Macaca mulatta: one gene and its partners. The protein of the gene in region 1 interacts with the protein of each later gene in a biochemical or structural test. Links are inferred from orthologs where the notes say so. Each region holds a gene or a part of one and is shown on either strand. Other genes may lie near its edges.

Evidence for each region.
Region 2: of the proteins of H1-1 (region 1) and PRKCA, one has a biochemical effect on the other in vitro, tested with the Homo sapiens proteins (3 studies listed by BioGRID). The link is inferred for Macaca mulatta from reciprocal best matches to the Homo sapiens genes H1-1 and PRKCA.
Region 3: of the proteins of H1-1 (region 1) and CDK6, one has a biochemical effect on the other in vitro, tested with the Homo sapiens proteins (2 studies listed by BioGRID). The link is inferred for Macaca mulatta from reciprocal best matches to the Homo sapiens genes H1-1 and CDK6.
Region 4: of the proteins of H1-1 (region 1) and KAT2B, one has a biochemical effect on the other in vitro, tested with the Homo sapiens proteins (2 studies listed by BioGRID). The link is inferred for Macaca mulatta from reciprocal best matches to the Homo sapiens genes H1-1 and KAT2B.

The regions. Positions count from the first base shown.
Region 1 is NC_133409.1:157,091,131-157,095,120, forward strand, and holds H1-1 (histone H1.1), read left to right. Parts: upstream 1-1,803; coding exon 1,804-2,451; downstream 2,452-3,990. UniProt on the Homo sapiens protein: Histone H1 protein binds to linker DNA between nucleosomes forming the macromolecular structure known as the chromatin fiber. Histones H1 are necessary for the condensation of nucleosome chains into higher-order structured fibers.
Region 2 is NC_133421.1:76,437,503-76,442,479, reverse strand, and holds part of PRKCA (protein kinase C alpha type), read right to left. Parts: intron 2,818-4,977; coding exon 2,661-2,817; intron 1,622-2,660; coding exon 1,487-1,621; intron 976-1,486; coding exon 879-975; intron 1-878. UniProt on the Homo sapiens protein: Calcium-activated, phospholipid- and diacylglycerol (DAG)-dependent serine/threonine-protein kinase that is involved in positive and negative regulation of cell proliferation, apoptosis, differentiation, migration and adhesion, tumorigenesis, cardiac hypertrophy, angiogenesis, platelet function and inflammation, by directly phosphorylating targets such as RAF1, BCL2, CSPG4, TNNT2/CTNT, or activating signaling cascade involving MAPK1/3 (ERK1/2) and RAP1GAP.
Region 3 is NC_133408.1:126,534,410-126,539,977, forward strand, and holds the start of CDK6 (cyclin-dependent kinase 6), read left to right. Parts: upstream 1-2,106; 5' UTR 2,107-2,232; intron 2,233-2,885; exon of another isoform or gene 2,886-3,680; intron 3,681-4,743; exon of another isoform or gene 4,744-4,905; intron 4,906-5,017; 5' UTR 5,018-5,385; coding exon 5,386-5,568. UniProt on the Homo sapiens protein: Serine/threonine-protein kinase involved in the control of the cell cycle and differentiation; promotes G1/S transition. Phosphorylates pRB/RB1 and NPM1.
Region 4 is NC_133407.1:28,521,594-28,527,135, reverse strand, and holds the start of KAT2B (histone acetyltransferase KAT2B), read left to right. Parts: upstream 1-1,904; 5' UTR 1,905-1,936; coding exon 1,937-2,239; intron 2,240-5,542. UniProt on the Homo sapiens protein: Functions as a histone acetyltransferase (HAT) to promote transcriptional activation. Has significant histone acetyltransferase activity with core histones (H3 and H4), and also with nucleosome core particles.

The DNA of each region.
Region 1 (3,990 bases):
TAAAAAGTGGATTGTGACCTTTTTAAATTCACAGGAGACAGGCCACTTTCTATCTTTTGATTGGTTTAGGCTATTTTCTTGAACAGCCATTTAGAAAGCAGATCTATCATCCTTTATTTGCATGGAGCGTTCCCATTTTATTTGAAGCCAGTTTAACCCAATGGAAACAAGGGAGGCAGAACCCATTATTTAAAGTGGAAGCTCCTGAATCAGATAATTCGGAGTATTTCCTTTTTAAAAGTTGCGTTTTTTTCAGATACCTCGCTTATTACATTAAGAAAGGTTTATATCTTTCATAAAGGGTTTACTTACAAAAACCTTCCAATTTTATATACCTGTGTTTCATAACTGACTAGCCGTCAAACCAAGATGTATAGTTTCCAAATGTTATTTTCCAAGTTTTAAGAAATTACGTGAAATATTTGAATGCGTGGCTTCTCAATAAAATAGACGTAGGAAACACTGGTAAAGAAGATGGGTACAATAGTTATCTGGGACTACTACAATTATTTGGTTGACACGTTGTTTGAAGAAAAAGGGAAAAAGCTCAGGTTACTTAGCACAGTTCGGACTTATTTAAAAACTACAACAGCACGAACGGAAATAGACCGCATTCCCTCACTCTCCGCTGTGTTAGGGGGTTATCCAGAATAGGATTGTAGAAGTGGATGTCGATTTAATAGTTTTTTTTGTTCTCCCGTTAGCTGAGTCTCTGATTGGCAATGTGAGATCGTTTTAGCTTATTGATAATTTGAAATGCTCTTAACAGCCACAAACAAGCTAAAGAGAGGTTACCATAAAATCTTATCCCCAGGGTGTGCTTACACTTACCGTTTGTTTTCACACTAAGGAGACTTAACTCCCCAGCAGAATGCCTGTCGGGGAACCAGTTTCTTGGACCCAGCATTTAACGCCTTTCGCAGGTTTGTGAGGCCCATAAATCTTTGTTGAATAAAACAATGAGTTCACCATGTCATGGTGCTCTCATTGCATGTGCTGACATGGAACACAGGTTGTAAACCTTAACACCCATTTGGGGCATGTTGTATGGATGAAAAGGGCATTGGAAATTCCTGAAGTGCATCCCACATTGGACTGTGGAAGTAAGTTACAAGTGCAGAAACGTTTCCACACTTGCAGTTTGAGTATTAATTGCAGCGTTAGTGAATTCTGGTGTTGTCTACGATTCATTCTTCTTTGACGTGAAAGGTATTCGCGAGACACATCGCTCTAAAACATTGCCAGAAAATGTAATCGAGTTGATGACTACTAGCCCTAACACGGCCTAAAACCCGCACTTTCCTCTTCCTCCCCAACTATTCAAACACTGTATTTTACATTTCTTGCAAATTAAAAACTAACATATCTGGCAACGGACCTCTAAAACTTTCTAATAAAACTCCCTGGATGCTTGTGGGGCTGCATTTGCAAACCGCTCCCCATCAACCTACTCCCTAAAACAGAGCTGCTTTTTGAGAGACAAGCGGCACCCTCTGATGTTACTAGGTGGCAGTCGGCCTACAATTTCCTTCACAATGAGGCAATCGGAGCGGCTTTTTCGGTGTGTTTGCTTGCGTTGAGGGGAGCGGGACCATAGGCCCTAGAGGCCCCCAGGTGCTCTCTGAGACTGGGGGAAACCCTCTGCAGAGCGCAGGGGGCGCTAGGGTGCGAGGGGCGGGCACTGACGGGCACCAATCACTGCGCAGTCCCACCCTATAAATAGGCTGAGTCGGGGCCTTTTTTTTCTCGCATCCTGCTTGGTCAGGTTTATACCAGTTTACTTGGTGTGCTGTATTAGTCACCATGTCCGAAACGGCGCCTCCCGCTCCCGCCGCTTCTGCTGCTCCTGAGAAACCTTCAGCTAGCAGGAAGGCAAAGAAACCTGCTAAGGTTGCGGTGGCCACTAAGAAAAAGCCTGCTGGCCCTTCCGTGTCAGAGCTGATCGTGCAGGCTGCTTCCTCCTCTAAGGAGCGTGGTGGTGTGTCGTTGGCTGCTCTTAAAAAGGCGCTGGCGGCCGCAGGCTACGATGTGGAGAAGAACAACAGCCGCATTAAGCTGGGTATTAAGAGCCTGGTAAGCAAGGGAACGTTGGTGCAGACGAAGGGCACCGGCGCCTCGGGTTCCTTCAAACTCAACAAGAAGGCATCCTCCGTGGAAACCAAGCCCGGCGCTTCAAGGGTGGCTGCAAAAACCAAGGCAACGGGTGCGTCTAAAAAGCCCAAAAAGGCCACGGGGGTTAGCAAAAAGAACGTCAAGACTCCAAAAAATGCTAAAAAGTCTGCGGCAACAAGGAAATCCTCTAAGAGTCCCAAAAAACCCAAAGCTGTAAAACCCAAGAAAGTAGCTAAAAGCCCTGCTAAAACTAAGGCTATAAAACCCAAGGCGGCCAAGGCTAAGGTGACGAAGCCAAAGACTGCCAAACCCAAGAAAGCGGCACCCAAGAAAAAGTAAATTCGGTTGGAAACTTTACTAACCCAACGGCTCTTTTAAGAGCCACCTACACACTTCGGGAAAAGAGCTGTAGTACACAGATGAAATTCCCCCAAGCAAATGCAATACGCCCTCATTTATATTAGAATCACTTGGAGAGTCAATAGGAACTTTAACATAGGTTGAGTAGTAAATTCTTGCCAGATGAGGCTATCAAAGATAGCAAGGTGAATTCAAATGCACCGAGTTAAAGTCGAATTTTAGATCACCTGTTTTGCTTTTTTTTTTTTTTTTTTTTAAGTAGCCCGAAGTCCCGCATCTCACGACCCCAAGCTAATTAGTCATAACTGTAACGAACCAAGGTTGAAGCCTAGTCCCAGGCTTGAGGCTTTTTTATTATGCAAGGTTAAAGTGCGGACATTGCGTTCTTGGGTCAATATTGCTAAAGTAGCCTTTTCCGAAATTGGGTGGTCCTAAGAAATGCTTCTGGGATAGTAAGCAAAATTCATGGCTTAATCACGCCCTCTCCGCAGCAGTGGCTAGAGAGGTGTCTGTCCTTGGGAATGACGGTGACCCTTCTGGCGTGACTGGCGCCCACGTTGGCGTCCTCTGAAAGCCCCACCAGGTAGGCCTAGCTCGCTCGCTTTCTGCAGCGCCATCATGACAAAGCTTTGAAACGCAAAATGCTCTTGCTTTGCGCAGCGCTTTACCATGGGTGCACTTACAGGCTGTCGACTTGGTTTAGGCCCTCATCAGGACAAAGGAGCTTAGTTGCAATGGAGTTTTAGAGCTGCAACTCTAAAGCCCTTGCTCGGTTTCTCTGTTTTTAGAAACAGTAGCGACCTGATTGGATAATATTTGAAAATTACTATGCTTAACTGGATCGTGTTTCATCAATCGTGCAGGATTTTCAACCCTGGTGGAGCCCACACATTCAATACTGAAGATCCTTTTCTCAGAACTGCCCCTTTAAGCTTTTGCAATTTTAATTCTGGGGTTCAATTTTAATAACTGAACTTTTTTTTACATCTGACAAAAAGAGTATATGATGAGCCAAGTTTACTCAGTGCAGCTCAATTCTAAAAGTTTATTTTTGCGTGTGTGCATATGAGTTAATAATTAGTTGTATTTTTCAAACGGTCGGTCTTTTTTCAATTGTTTTGCTTAGCTCCTTCCATCGTCTAAAGTCAGGGATACAGGCACATCACATCCCTGTTCCCCCTTCCTCCAAACTAATATGTAGCTACCTGTTTTTCTTTAAAAAAAATAAAAAAAAAATTCTCACCTATTTCTGTGAGAAATATACATGTTTTTCTTTGAACTAAGTATTTTACATACACCTATCTATATACATGCATAGTTTTTTGTTTTTTTAAAAAAAATAAACGTTATCTTTTGAGACTGGGTCTCAGTCTGTTGCCCAGGCTGGACTGCAGTGGCATAATCACAGCCCACTGTAACCTCCAACTCCTGGATTCAAGCTATCCTGCAGCCTCAGCATCCAGAGTAACTGGGATTGCATGGACACACCACCACGCTGGGCTAATTTTTTATTTTTAT
Region 2 (4,977 bases), on another chromosome or scaffold:
GAGTGGGGAAATTCTGGGGAATTCTAATGAGTCTGAAGAAGAGAAAGATTCACAAAGGAATTAACCTGTTACACAGACTGAAAAGGCTACTCTACGAGTCCCTCGAACAGCCAAAATGAAGCGTGATGAGAGAAGCAGAAAAATATTAGAAGTTGTGACTTTAAAACATAAGGAAGGTGCTTAGAGAAAAGAACTGTTTACTAAAAGCGGAGATGTCTGGTAAAGGAAGAGGAGAAGGGAGAGAGAGGAGAAGAAAAAGAGAAGTAAGCAGCAGAGGAGGAGAAGAAAAAAGACCAGGGAATCCGGGACAGAGGCAAACACAAATGCCAAGAGGAAGAAGAGAGGGAGGTGGCCTTTGCTGAACACTTGGAATATAGATAAAAAAGGATCACACACAAAGGCATATTTGTTTAAGCTGGTCTTTCAGAACAAAATTAGGAACCTTGTACTTTCTGCAGGGGGAAAAAAAAAGTCTCAGATGATAGCCTGATTACACACAAATGAGCTCCCAAGGAAAGGCCAAAATGACTTCCTCCTTTTTAGAAGAGCACAAGTCCTCCCTTGTAAGAACAATCCTGCCCCTCAGAGGCTGCTTCTCTCCCCAGTGATGTGCAAATCGATCTCTTATGCAAAAATCAACCATGCTTTCATTTCTGGGATATTTCCAGTTTCCATTTTCTAAGTGATAAGAGTCATAAAAAGTCAACAGCTTGCCAAGGAAAGGGAGTGAACAACATTTATGTTTTTAAATAAAGAAAAAGATCATTAACATTTAGATTACTTTTTTGCCTTTCGAAAATGTGACCACACTATCTCGGCTGTTCCTGAAGTCAGGCTTTCTATAGGAAAGGTGTTTCCAGGCATTTTGTTATCCTCACCTCGAATTTCTGCCTGAGTTCCATGTTTCCTTCTTCGTCCCCTTCTGGAATGGGTACATTGTAGTACTCACCTTCTTCTTGGTTAAGCAACTTGTACCTTTCAAAGACAGGAGAAAGAGAGTTACCACCGCAAGTTTAGCAAGCCTTCTCCTGAACCTCTAGTCAAGCTGTTTTGTGAAACGCATCCTATGGAGAGGCTACAGGTAGAGAAGTAGACATTTGACTTTTTTAAATTTTTATATTTTTGAGACAGGGTAGCTCTGTTGCCCAGGCTGGAGGGCAGTGGTGAATCACGGCTCACGGCAGCCTCAACCTCCTGGGCTCAAGCGATCCTCAAGCCTCAGCCTCCTGAGTAGCTGGGACTACAGGTTATACCACCACGCCCGGCTAATTTTTGTATTTTTTGTAGAGATGGGGTTTCTCCATATTGCCCAGGCTGGTCTCAAACTTCAGGGCTCAAGCAATCCACCTGCCTTGGCCTCTTGAAGTGCTGGGATTATAGGCATGAGGCACCATGTCCGGTCTCAACTGACATTTTAGAGACTGAAACCTAACTGTCTAAATGGTCTGATGCTTTGAGACATATTCAACCTCAGCAGCTTCCATACCATCCACTGGCTGGCATCTTCATTAGTTCCGAAACCCCAAAGGAAAGGGATCCCATGAAGTCATTCCTTGTTGTTCGATCCCAGTCCCAGATTTCTACAGACAGTCGTCGGTCTTTGTCTGAAGGTTTCAGTTTGCTACAAGACACACACACATGCAAACACTAGGTTATTTTGATCATGGTTTCTTGGGAGATACCACCTGTACATGATTTGAGCCTGAGATACAGAAATAGTATATTTGATTCTCTTCCTGGTCCAGTAAAATACCAACCCCTTATGCTGGCAACCAAAGCGCTACAGGAGGAGTTAACAAACTATGACCCATGGGCCAAATCTAGCCCACCGTCTATTTTTATAAATAAAGTTTTATTAGAACCCAGCCATGGTTATTTGTTTACATATTGCCTATGGCTGCTTTGGCACTAGAAAGTTGTACAGGTGCAACAGAGGCTATATGACCCACAAGGCCTAAAATATATACTATCTGATCCTTTACAGAGCAGAGCTTGCTGGTCCCTCTAGAATAGATAGCTACCTTTCTGGTTGTCCACAGAAAAGCTGCTTCCTGTATACTGGTCTACAAAGGGGACCTCCTGCTTTTGCTCAGCTGCACTCAGTCTTCCTGACTTATTTATTCCCTCCTTCCTTCTTCCCCTTCTACCATCTCTACCTCTGAAATCCTAGCAACCCTCCCAGGCTGGCTTTAAGTGTCACCTTTCTTTTCCAGGAGGTCTTCTCTCTTTGAAGGCAAGAATGATCTTGCCGTTTCAGTGGCAATAACACTTCCTATATTACTCACTCATTCTGTGGTCTAAAAATTATTTAAATTCTTGTCTTATGCCCTCCCCTAACTCTCAAAAGAACCTAAGTCTATCGAGAGGTGGACACACCGGATACATTTTTACATCATCTTTAATACCTTACACAGAATTGTTTAACCAGGTTAGATAATGATAATAATTTGAGGCCGGAATTATGCAACTCTTGGTAAATCAAATTACTATCTATCAAACAGGTGCTAATAGCTACCTCCCTAATGGCAGCCTGAGGAGGTCTTAGGACTGAAGACACGTTTAAAGACGTTTATAATGAACCTACTTCATTACCTCAAACAATGAGGTGGGCAACTGCATGGTGTATAGGAACGAGATTTGATCAAGGAGAGACCACTTACAATGTAAAGGACTCATTCCACTGGGGATTTAGTGTGGAGCGGATGGTTTTGGTTTTTTGTTTGCTTTCATTCTTGGGATCAGGAATAAGTTTCAGCTTCACATAAGGATCTGAAAGCCCGTTTGGATCCATAGGGATTAGATTTTTTGCATCTCGTACTGTGAAGAGAGAAGGAAGAAAACATTACAAAAAGAGAATGGACCTATATTGCCCAGTGTCCTGTGCCAATACCAAGCTGAGTAAAAGAGAAGTCAGGATGGCATTTAAGGAGAGAGATGGTGGGAAGCCAAACGCCTCTAACGCTCGTCATGAGAAAAGCTACCCACTGCCACCACCGGCAGAGATAACAGGCATCGTGTGGGCCCTTGTGGGCGGGTCTTGGGACTCAGCACCAGCCTGGACTGGCAGCATCAGCAACACTCAGATATCTATTAGAAATGCAGAGATCCAGGTCCCACTCCAAACCTGCCGAAGCAGAATCCATTATTTAACAAGATTCCCAGGTGACCTCTGCAGCACCCCAGGAGTAATGGCGCACCCTCCCAACATGGAGGCAACCAGCCCGACCTGGTCCATGGTGCCGCACATGCACCTGACCTCCCAGAAGGTGTTATCCCTTTTTGTGGGTAAAGGCCAATGGCTTCCAACTCTGACTGTACATTGGAATCACAAGGGAGTTGGGGAATGGGGGAGTTAAAAATTCTAATCCCCAGAATTAAACTAGAATCTCCAAGGAATGTGGCTCAAATATTTGTTTTTAAAAGCTCCTTGGGTGATTCTACTGGGCAGCAGGGGCAAGCACCATTGCTGTATACAGCTGTAACTCAGAATTGCTGCCCGGTGCTGATCCATGGACCAGCGACATCTACATCACCTGGGAGCTCATTAGACATGTAGAACCTTGGGTCCCACCTCAGACTTAATAACTCAGAATCCTCACTTTAACAAGACCTCCAGGCACTTCCAATGCAATCCTAGCTTGAGAAACCTGATATGGGAATCAAAAATAATTAGAAGGAAACGCCATTTCGTCCACAGAAGAAAGCAGGCTCGGAGATTTAAGAGCTGGCAGAGGCTCACAACCGTGAGAAGCTGTCTAACGCCACTGCACATCAACGTAAAAGGTAATTATCTACTGCTATGATGAAGGGACAAAGGCCTGAGCCTCCTACCCCAAATGCCTTCCTCATTATCTTCCCATGGCATCTTTCCCAGTGAGGCTGAATTACCAGATATGCAACTGGTCAGACACCATCAACACACGTATAACTGGGACCAGGCTCCCTGGTCCAGTGGTTCCCACAGTGTGGTCCCTGGACCGGCGGCACTGGCATCATCTCCTGAATCAGAACTCTGGGGTGGGGTCCAGTGGTCTGTGTTTATCAAGCCTCCGGGTGATTCTGATGTCCATAAATGTTGCAGAACCACAGATCTAGGCAATTAGCATAGTTTATCGGCATAGTTTAATTATTAAGAATTACAAAAGAACTTTAGAAGAAGGCACTGGAGTTGTCAGTGGGCACGGTTAGATGGGGAGGGGGCGGGGGGAGAATCCTAAAGATGTTGGGTCTTTGGACACAAATGAGGGAGGTACAGCCCTAAGATCAGAAGTCAGACAGGCATTGCCTTTACTAGTCTGTGGACCTACTGTGTGCCGCCTCCTGCCAGCCAACAGCCTTACATCCTCCTTACCTGGCAGCCTTACACAGGTGGGCAACAGATGGGACTACATTCAAATACAGAGGGGGAGGGGGCTGGCTCAGGCCTGCTAGCCACAGAGAAGCTGAATATATGTTTCTCGTACCCCATTTGTGCCTTCCAAGTATTTCTTCTCCTAAGAAAATATCTAACCTCATTCATCTCGGGGAGCAGATAGCACATAAATGAAACACACAGGCATGGTCCCTGTGGCTCAGCAGGTGTACGTGCGAACTCTGCCTCCTTCACCATGTAACCCTGAGCACTGGGAAGCTTTGTCTCTGAGCCTATGTTTCTTCATCTAGAAAAATGAAGAGGGGCATAATTCCAGTAGTATAGAATTGTTGAGAGACTCGAGTAAAAGAATGCTTATAAAACACCTTACATGGTTAGGGGCTTGGAAAATGAAAAAAAAAAAAAAAAAATCCATGATGTGAGTGCTCACTACACCCCAGGCATGATGGACTCGTTTCCACTCTTATCATGCTGAAATCTACAGGGCTGAAGGCCCCCAGGGGACTTGGTCACTGGATAATTCATCAAGCTCATGTGAAAGGTTTTAATCCAATGCAGAAGGTCTAGCCCACTAAAACATCAACCCTGAGTATCACCAAAGATTG
Region 3 (5,568 bases), on another chromosome or scaffold:
CACTCAGTATTAACATATATAATTAAATAAAGTTTCATTGTTTTTTACATTGTCCAAATGATCTAGTAACCTAAATCATGGAATTTCTGATCTAGCAATGGCTGTTGTCAAATTCAGTAATTAAAACTTCAACCCAGTGTAGAAAAGACACTTCTCTGTTCATTTAAAAGATATTTGTAGCTTATTTTTTTTTTAAATAAGTGATTTATTCAAATAAATTCTAGCCATGATGTGCTGGTTCCTATTTACTGGCAATTATTTCTGGATTATATAAACGTGTTAATTACCATCAAGTAAACCTTGTTTTAAAAGGCAAATGGTAAGTGTGAACAATTATCCAAATGGAGGATTCCCATTTGTGTCTCTGGCTTAAAGTCTAGTGATTTGTAGTGATCTAATATTTTATGTAAATATAAAATCTAATGATTTGCCTTATTAAATTTATAAGATATATGAGATTATAGATAGCTTTATAAATACAAATTTTGTTCAGAAAACTGGATCTTATTTTAGAAGACATGCTCTTAACACAAATGTATTTTATGAATTATCTTAAGCTTAAAGACATACAATTATTCACTTTTATTTTTAAAGAAAAAAATATTATAATGCATTGCAAAATATGTGCTACTGGAAATGCATCAATTTTTTATTTCCCTAGCCTTACCTTATACTATAATATAGAATCAATTTTATAAAGGCAAAAATTTGATTTACTATGAGATCAGTAACATGGTTTTAAAGTCAAAAGATTTATAGAAGTAGTATGTCCAATTCAAACAGAATTTTGCCGGGTTTTAATTTTTCTACAAAGCACTGAAGTAAATAATTTTGTGAAAAGTTTTTCTTTAATATGTTTTAAAGGGTTTCAAGTATTCTACAGATAGAGATTTTGGGGAGAACACCAAATTCTTTCCAAAAAGACAGCTATTTCAAGTTTTCTTTTACTCCATTGTAGAAGGTTTTAAAGACTTTTTTTCTCCAAAAGCTCATTTTCACCTGAAATAATTGTATTCAAGGGTTTCTCAGCAGGTAAAGTATACATTCTTACAAGGTTTCAAATTTCAGATTTCCAATAATGCATTTAAACTGAGCACTCCTCTTTCTGTGTATGTATCTATTATCTGCAGTTCTATTATTTACACTAAATTTTAGTCTTTTTAGCTCCTCTGAAATACGTTAGTGAACCCTCAGCAGTTACTAACCACTTAATAATTGTGAACCCGCCAGCCCCTTCAAGTAGATCGTTAACCATAAGAGTGCCTGACAATTTCCAAACCATACCCTCTGTCTAAAAGGAAAAGATAGGGCTTTGTGAGGCAGAAAGGAAGCGAAGGAAAACAAAACAAATGTAGCTCATGCTGAAAGTGAAAAGTGCTTGAACAGATTAGTATTTTCTTTTCTGCAAGGCATCCTGCCAAACTTTTTCTTTATTTTTTTAAGAGAAGAGTTATTTTTTGGTCTGATTTTTCAGTTTCTTGGAAAGTATTGGTATTTACCACCCCCATCGGCCCTTCATAATTATTGTTAGTTGTTTTGTGTTTTTCCCATCCGTCCACGTCACACAGTGAGGATACCCCCTGCTTCACCCTGTCAAAACCCCAACTCTGGGCGACCCTGGGTTTGGAAACTCCGCCGACTCCCGACGACACGTCCCACTCTCTCCCACTAACGCCGCTTATTTTAGTCGCAGGATCCCCCTACTACAGTTTCAGTGAAAGCCGGAAATTTTCATTTAACTCCCCTGCCCCCCCAACCCCCCCGCCCCGCGCCTTTCTAGCCCCCGACTCGTAGAAGGGAGCTAGGGAGCCCGGAGCTCGGAGCACTGCCGGGGCTTGGCCGCCTCCTTTCTCTCCGGAAGGCTTTAATTTGCACACTTTCTTGCCACTGCGCCACGAGCCCCCAGCCTCGCCGCTGGGTGGGTCTCCGGCAGAGTTGGCTTCTCGGGTCCCTGCCCCCACCCCGCGCGGTCGCCCCCGCTGCCTCCCTGGCTGGGGCCCCCAGCGCCGGCCAGAGCCCCGCGGCCCCCGTCCGCCCCCAGCTAGCGGCGCGGGCGGCGCCCTCCGCCTTCCCTCCGCCCTCCGCCGCTGTGCCCACCCCCTCGCCGGAGAGAGTGCTGGTAACTCCTTCCCCAGAGTCTGATTACCTGCTCCGCGAGGCCGCGGACACGTGCGGAGAGCCGACTGACACTCGCAGCCCCCTCAGGAGGCCCGACGCGACTGGGCCCCTCAGGTGAGGAGCTGTGCGCTCGGGTGGGTGGGCTGCGGGGTGGGGGGTCCCTGGGGAGATATGGGGGATTGGCCGGGGTCCGAGGCAGAACTGTGGGTGGGGTAAGTGGAGGCTGGCGGGGGGTGGGGGGGACCTGTGTTTCCCTGGAATCGGCTTTGGTTAACCCCTTACGAACTGAGACGGCGTTGGTTATGGGGGCCAGTTTTGGGGAGCTAGAGGATTCTAATCTGACGAGAGGGGGAGATCCTACGCTAGGGACACCCGCGACACCGAGATCCTGCTTCCACGTACCCGTGCGCACACACACTCACACAGAACACTCCTCATCCAGTTTCTCCAAACGGAACTGGAACTCTACTCGGACATTCACATAATAATTCACATTTAGGGTTCAAAATGCACTGCCTCTAGGGACTCCATGCTGGAGAATGTGCTTGCATTTCCCCCACGAAAACTCCCTCGCCAGCTCGCTGAGGTGTGGGTGTGGGCTCCACCTTCCCCTCCACGAGATAAATGTTAACGCAGGCTTCCTGCGGGCGTGTTATGCACAGAAGAGTGCACGCAGCCGGCCGGTGCCCAGGCTTGGAGCCCCACGAAGACGCACGTTTGCTTTAGTTTCCAAGTTTACTTTTATCATTTAAAATATTGGAGTTAAACACACGCCCCGTGGTGAGCAGCCCTTGTCCCCGCAGGGCGCCCGTCCGTGTGCATATGGGCGCATCTGCGTGTGCGCACACGCGGGAGTCGCGGTCCCCGGTGTGGCCTCTTGTTGCCGTGCTGGTGGCGACCCTTGTGGTGCTTGGCAGGCTTCGGGAGAGGCGCATGAAGGATTTCATTGAGTGTGAAGACAGAGAGCAGAGACAGAAAGCAGAAGGAGGCGGCTGCAGCCTTTGTAGTCGCGGAGGAATGCGGAAATGTTGAAGCACTATGTCAAACTTTTTTTGAAATGGGGTCAAGTCACATTCAGCCAGCGTGGGAAAGCAACAACAACAACAAAAAAAAAGTGGAGGAGAGGGGGGGAAAAGGCATTGCTGCTCCCGTTTCTCTCCGCCGAAGCCGACCGTCTGGGGGGCGAGTGGGGGGAGAGTCAGGGTAGTGCGGGGCCCGGCGGGGGCAGCAGGCGAAGTTCCCTGCGGGGGTGGGACGTCCCCGACGCTTCCTTCGCTGCGGAGCCCGGGGCTAGACTCGAGCGGGAGGGGGATGGGGGGACGCAGGAGAGGCGGGTTGGGCGGCCGGCGGCGGCTCCCCGGCTACCTGTGTGGCCCTCGACCTGGCTCAGACGCCCGGGCAGTCCTTGGGGGCTCTTTCCTCGGCTTTTAAGGAAAGTTCTGAATGGAGTGAGTGCCAGAAGCACTGCTTTCGCCGCGGTCCGCTCCACGCGCTCATCGTGGGGGTCGCGCCGTTTGTTTAATTCCTGGCAAAAGGCGAGCGGGGCAGCGGTTGCGAGGCAGGTAATTCCGAGGTGCCCCGGGAATTCCGGACACGCGGCCAGCGTGGTGAAAGTCCTGCCGAGGCCGCGGCGGCCGTGGGGGAGGGAGGCTCCCTAGGTCCCAGATAGCTGCTGAATGGGGAGGGAAAGTTAGGGTACCCTTCTCCGGCGCTTTGTTATGCAGAGGGCTCCGGGGGCGTCCGGCTGCAGCCTGGACCCGGCCTTTAGCCGGAGAGGGAATGGGGCAGCCACCTCCGCTACCTACAGCGGGGTGGTCCTGGGAGTGGGAAAAGGTTCGCGAGTCCGGGCCCCGAGGGCAGAGACCTTGTTTCTCACCCCTGGAGGCGCAGGGTTTAACCCCCCACCCCCCACCCTTTGAAAGAGAGGTTGAGTTTTGCTCAGGTCGAAATCAATTTAAAACTTCAGGACGAGGCGCGATTAAGCTATCCTCTTCCTGAAATTATTCTTTAAGAAGACGACAAGCGAAATTGTGACGAACACCCCTTTCTCCCACCCTTGGGATCCCGTGGGGGACAGTGTCTCCCCTCCCCCAGGACCTCTCGTTCGCCCACCCCCGATTAGCCCCAACCCTCCCCGACCAGATGGCTGGTCTTCCCAAGGTTTCCACCAGGGAGGTCCTCCCAGTCGGAGAGAGAATTCCGTTTCCAACCGAGACTCCTTTACCCCAAAGAGACCATTTGTGTATGCGAGTCGTTTTTAAATGTCTCCTCGTAGAAAAACTGAAAGTAGAAAGAAAGGAAGCAATTTCTGAGCAGATGTCTGACCACCCCTTCTCGCACACTCACAGCATCGGGTTACAGGGTCCTGGGAGCCCCCACCCACATTCTGCGGCCCCACACGGATGGACCCACAGTCCTTCCGCTCCAGCTTGTGCGCGACCCTTGAACGCCCTCCGGCACCCCTGGACCCCATCTCCCTGCACGTCCGGGCCTCAGGAGGCGGGGAGGGTAGCGACGCAACACAATGATATAGGGATAAATATTAAGCCGTGACATTGACGTGCCCGGCGCCTCCCCTCCCCCGCGCTCCCGGCACACTCTGGGCTGCTCGGCACGCCCCCTCCCGTTCCACTGCGTCCCGCGCCGCTCGCTCATCCCCGAGGGGCCCCTGCAACCTCTCCGCGCGAAGACGGCTTCAGCCCTGCAGGGAAAGAAAAGTAACTTCGCTTTTCTCGGAGGAACCAGGAAGGATTAAGCGGCTTGGGAGAGGGCAGGAGCGCGCGGAGGGTAGCGATGGAGGCTTCGTAAAGGAGGAGGAGGGGAGTCTGGAGGAACCCCGAGGAAGGCTTCTGGGCTGTCTGATTGCACTTTCTTCTTATCCTCCCGTCTCCTCCTTTAGGTGCAATGATTCTGGACTGAGACGCCCTTGGGCAGAGGCTATGTAATCGTCTCTGTCTGTGCTGAGGACTTCGCTTCGGGGAGGGAAGAGGAGGGATCGGCTCGCTTCTCAGGCGGCGGCAGCAGCGACTCTGCAGGCGGAGTTTCGCGGCGGCGGCACCAGAGTTACGCCAGCCCCGCGGGGAGGTCGCTCCATCCAGCCTCCGCAGCCGCGAGAGCCCCAGCGCCCGAGCGCCTGAGCCAGCAGGGAGCAAGGAAAGCTAGACCAATCTCCGGGGAGCCCCGGAGTAGGCTAGTGGCGGCCGCCAGCTAGTTGAGCGCACCCCCCGCCCGCCCCAGCGGCGACGCGCCGGGCGGCGTCCAGGCGGCATGGAGAAGGACGGCCTGTGCCGCGCTGACCAGCAGTACGAATGCGTGGCGGAGATCGGGGAGGGCGCCTATGGGAAGGTGTTCAAGGCCCGCGACTTGAAGAACGGAGGCCGTTTCGTGGCGTTGAAGCGCGTGCGGGTGCAGACGGGCGAGGAGGGCATGCCGCTCTCCACCATCCGCGAG
Region 4 (5,542 bases), on another chromosome or scaffold:
AATCTCAAGTGGACCATTCCATCAGTTTGACAAACGCCTACAAGGTAGAACCCAAGCTCTTATTAGTATTTGTTAAATCCATGTTAGAGTTTGATCAGAGAAGCACAGCCTTTAAGACTCTCACCCTGCTTTGAGGAGAATGGCAAAAATCTGCGAAATTTCTCAGCAGAGTCAGGAGAGAGTACCACTGGTAACGTGAAGCACGTCAAGCTAAGAAAGGAAGCACTGAAGTTAATTGTCCTGAACGGAACCTGATAAGAATCTGCCATTTCATCCCCTCAAGACTGGACTCAAGTTGGGAGAGAATATTGCCTTTTGCCCTGTCTAAACTAATATCACTGTTTAGATCTACAAAGTCCCCCACCTTCCCATGTTTATGTATTACACTGCATTACAAGTCAAAATAACACAGAGAATCTGGAAAAAGGAGAAGGGGAATGTTTCCAACGAAAAGCACACCCCTTAAGGCGTCTGGCCTGAGAGCTATATAGCATGCATAAAATCTGATAATAAGCACATTATGACCCACATTGCATATAACAAAAAGTAGGGCACTTCTGAAGGGTCCTGAGAAACAGCCCTGGACTTTTAAAACCTGCTTTAAGAAGGCGATCAACCGTACGCCACTTTCAAACGCAGCACTGACATGTATGCTCCACAGTCATCAACAGAGAAAACAACAGTTTTCAACAAGAGTTGAAAACTGAGTTGAGGGTTTTTTTTTTTCTTTTTTTTTTTTTTTTAAGTTTGAGGCCAAAATCGGTATTTATTCTTTTGAATGATGCTTATATCTTTTTCCTGGTTAATATGCACGCTGGTGGTACAATTTTGAAAACTACGTAACGTGATAGAACCACCACCCAGAAACGAGTCCTGTTAACAAACTTTTTGTATTCAAACTTTTTCCACTGCACATAGTTTTTATTTTGACAATGCTTTTAGACAATCGTTCTTTTAGCAACCAGCACTTTCAAACAAAAAGTACAGGGAATAGTAAGTTTTTTCCCCCTCCTCTGGCAGATTTGACCCACAAATTGCTATAGGAAGAAAGTGTTAATTATATTAAAACATAGTTTGACAGAAAGTATTTAAAAAGAGAAAGGGAAAACATCACGCTTTTATTTTGGTGAATTAGCAACAAAGAAAAGGATTAGCATGGACGGGTACTTTTCAAAAATATTTTTTTTTTCCTCTGGCTCCCGCTAGGGTGGAGGAAGTTGTCTCTGCTCAGAGACAGGGTGGAAGAGAGTGGAAGGACAAATGACTGAGAGGCGGCCCCCTCCCACTGGTGCGGGCGTGCGGGGGTCGGATGGGGGGCCGCGGAGGGGGGAGGTGGCCAGCAGGTGCCTGGGCTCCAGTCCCCTACCCCCACCCTCGTCCCCACCCTCACCCACACCCAGGGATTGGCCTCGCCCCCTGGCGGGCGAGCAGTAGGTGTCGAGGCACTGGGGTGGGGGGTGCAAACCTCGCGGGCAGCGGAAAAGAAGCCGTGGGGGGCCTCCCGGCCCCGGCACACACTGCGAGGCTGGCACCCGCCCGCACGCACACCCAGTCCGCAGCCCCGAGGAACATGTCCGCAGCCAGGGCGCGGAGCAGAGTCCCGGGCAGGATAACCAAGGAAGGGCGTGTGCTGTGGCGGCGGTGGCAGCGGCAGCGGCAGCGGCAGCGGCAGCGGAGCCGCTAGTCCCCTCCCTCCTGGGGGAGCAGCTGCCGCCGCCGCCGCCGCCGCCACCATCAGCTCGCGGGGCCCGGCCGGAGCTAGCCCGGCGAGCGGCGCGCGAGGGGGAGGGCGGGGGCGGGGAGGGGGGTGGGCGAAGGGGGCGGGAGGGCGTGGGGGGAGGGTCTCGCTCTCCCGACGACCAGAGCCCGAGAGGGAGACCCTGGCGGCGGCGGCGGCGCCTGACACTCGGCGCCTCCTGCCGTGCTCCGGGGCGGCATGTCCGAGGCTGGCGGGGCCGGGCCGGGCGGCTGCGGGGCAGGAGCCGGGGCAGGGGCCGGGCCCGGGGCGCTGCCCCCGCAGCCCGTGGTGCTGCCGCCCGCGCCCCCGCAGGGCTCCCCCTGCGCCGCTGCTGCCGGGGGCTCGGGCGCCTGCGGTCCGGCAACGGCAGTGGCTGCAGCGGGCACGGCCGAAGGACCGGGAGGCGGTGGCTCGGCCCGAATCGCCGTGAAGAAGGCGCAACTACGCTCCGCTCCGCGGGCCAAGAAACTGGAGAAACTCGGAGTGTACTCCGCCTGCAAGGTACGCGCTCGCCGTTCTCGGACCGCGGATGGGTGCTAGGGGCCCAGCCCGCGGGACCCCCCTCCCCCTCCCGCTTCCACCTCCGCCTCCCGCCTTCTGCCTTCTGCCTCTCGCCTCCCGCCTCCCGCCTGGGGCCGCTGCACCGCGGAAGTGCTCTTGTCGCCCGAGCCCAATTAGCTTCTTCTTGGATAAGAGTCCTGCTGGGTTTGAAGAAGGGGATCACTAAGACGGAGAGCCCTTCATTCCTTCCGCTTGAAAGGAGTAGCTTCGGAATCCGAGCTCCCGGGCTACTCTGGGGTTTTGTTGCTCTGTAGGAGCTCGCTGGAGTCACTTTCGCGGGAGTGGAGCGGTGCTCTCCATGTGGTGGGCGACCCAGGGGCAGGGAAACATCTTTTGGGGGACTGAGTGGTCCCTTCTGCAGTCGATCCCTTCCCGTGTCCCACTGGGAGGAACTGGGTGCAAGGAGTCGGGGTGGAGAAGACTCCCGGACTCCTGGCGCTTTGGGAAAGCGAAGGGGAGGAAAGCGCGGGGTGCGAAGGTGGGCAGAGCCCGAGGCGAGGGTCTTGTGGCGCCTGACGCCCTCGGCTGGGGGCGGAGGCGCTGCCGCGCGCAGTGACAGCCCTGTCATTATTGTATTATTACTTGTTTAGTTAAAACGCTGTCCCAGCTGCTCGAGGTGTAAACAGGATTTGGCAAGGTGACAGCCCAGCGCCGCGGACGCTACTGCTTGGTTTGAGGACACCCATTTCTTGCTACCCACTCTCCGTGCCAGTTTAGGCACCCTGTCATCCCCAGCTGCAGATCCAGATGTGGGGGCCGTGCTCCCGAGGTGGGAGGATTGCCCGAGGCCGCGGGGCAGGCTGGCCCTGCGCTGTCAGCAGCGGCTTTGTTTTGACAGGGTGACAGCTGAGGGGGGCGGGGACTTGGCCTTGTCAGCTCCTGCGGCCTGTGGCAGAGGCAGGGAAGAGACACACTCACACACACTCACACACCTCCCTGTATTCTTCCTGCCTGCTGCAAAGAGGGTCAAGTTCCCAGATTCCGGATTCCCAATTCCCACAACCAAGCTGCAGTGGCCACTTCTGAATTTTGATATAACTATTATTTATTCTACTGGAACATCTGGGTTATACTCTTCTTAGTACTTACAGGAGCTTCTTAGTCACAATGGAATGTCTGTGCTTGCTCTTTTTCCACACCGTATCCTCATGTTTATGTTGAGCACCTCTGTATCCTATACTGGTTCGATAAATATTTGTTGAGTGAATGTGGGATCTAGCCCAGTGCTCCTCAAACTTTCATGTGCATGGGAATCTCCTGGGGAAGCTGGTTAAAATGCTGATTCTGAATCAGGTGGTCTGAGGTGGAAGCTAAGAGTTTGCATTTCTGACGAACTCCCAAGTGGCACTACGCTAGTCCACAGACCACATTCCAATTCAGACCTGGACAGTATATTATTTGTCCCCGTTGAATTTAGCAGAAAAGACAGAAACAAATAATAATGCCGTGTGGTTATTTCTGAAGAAGGAATGCAAAAAAGATGAAGTGGGGAGTGTGCTTTTTGAAAGGTGCAAGCCCAGGAGTTGATCATGAAGGGCATTAGATGAATGAGAACAGGCCACTGACTGTAGTAGGCAGAAGGGAGAGCTAGGTACAGAATTAAGAACAAGGTCGTGAGTTCAGGGCATACTGCTTGGGTGATGGATACACCAAAATCTCACAGATCACCACTCAAGAATTTATGTAATCAAACACCACCTGTTCCCCCAAAACCTATGAAAAAAAAAAAAGCAAGGTCAATTACTTGGTGGCCTTGGCGTTTTGCAGCCAAAGTGGGCTCATGCAGGAACTGTGTCAACTCAGTGTTTCTGTCCTGGCTTTATTTTAACATTTGTTTATTGGGTTATCATTACCAGCACCTCTTAAAGACTTCCTGCTGCCTGCTGTAGCTTTAATATCTGAAAACTTTCCTGAAGTTTTGGTTTTGTCTAAAACCATGAGCATATGTGGCCTGCATTGATGTTTTTGATCTTTTCAAATTTCCATGGGTGAGATGTAGCACCACTTCCAAAGTTTGAGATTTGAGTGTTTTCTGGTCACTTTCATGACCAAACAAGAGAAATAGAAAATTTATTTTAAGGCCTTTTTTTTTTTTTTTTTTTTTTGAAACAGGGTCTCACACTGCCTGCAGGCTGGAGTGCAGTGGCATGATTGTAGCTCACTGCAGACTCAATCTCCCTGGGCTCAGGTGATCCTCCTACATCAGCCTCCTGACTAGCTGGGGCTACAGGCATGCACCAGTACACTATTATTATTATTTTTTTTATTCTTTGTAGAGACAGGGTTTCACCTTGTTGCCCAGGCTGTTCTCGAACTCCTGAGCCCAAGCACTTTGCCCGCCTTGGCTTCCCAAAGTGCTGGGATTATAGGCATGAGACACCATGCCCGGCTGAAAGTGTTCATTTTTATGTGTCCATTCATTCAGTAAATATTTGGAGGGTTACCAACTGGGTGTCAGGCATTGTGCTAGGTGCTGGGCCTATGACACACAGAATTTGTCCTTCAGGAGTTACTTACTGTGTGTGTGCACAAGTGCATGTGTGTGCATGCATGTGTTGGGGCCTAGGGAGGAGGGCAGTGAACCAGAATTACAGAGAAGTTCAGAAAAACTACTTTCTTGGAGTACTTGCGGACCCAGAGCAGGACAATTCATAGACTGGGGCACTGGTAGGGTGGGATTGCCTTCCTGGAGGAAGTGTCAGTGGCTGCTAAGAACTCTTGGCAGGGCAGAGTGGGGTGGGGTGAAGCTTCTTGTAGTGGAGAAACTGAAAGCAGTTCTGGAAGCTTGGAGGTGGACCAACTCCAGCCAGACCTTTGTTGCCTAGGGCCACCTGGTTGGGGGTGAGGGGTACGTGGCCAAGAGGGCACTGAGGAGTGCAGGAATCTTAACCTGGGGAGTGACACTATCTCAGATTTGCTTTAAAAAAAAAAAAATTAACTGGGCTCGATTGGATAATAGGGAGGGTAAGAGAGCAGAATCTGTGGTTCTCTCTTGGCTTGTTTCTGCACTTACTATGAGCAAGCCCGAAAGGACAGATTGCTCTACCTTTGCCACAGGCCCCTTGGCAAGTTAGATTAGAGAGATTAGAGAATGAGGAGGGATCTAGAAAGAGATAAGGTAGTTTGCTGGGGGGCTTTTGAAAGAAAAACAGGTCCCAGGCCTGATATAAATCTGGCCTTTAAACTTCACAAACAAAACCAAAAAAGAAGGGAGCTAACTCAGCCAGGGTGATGTGCCACACC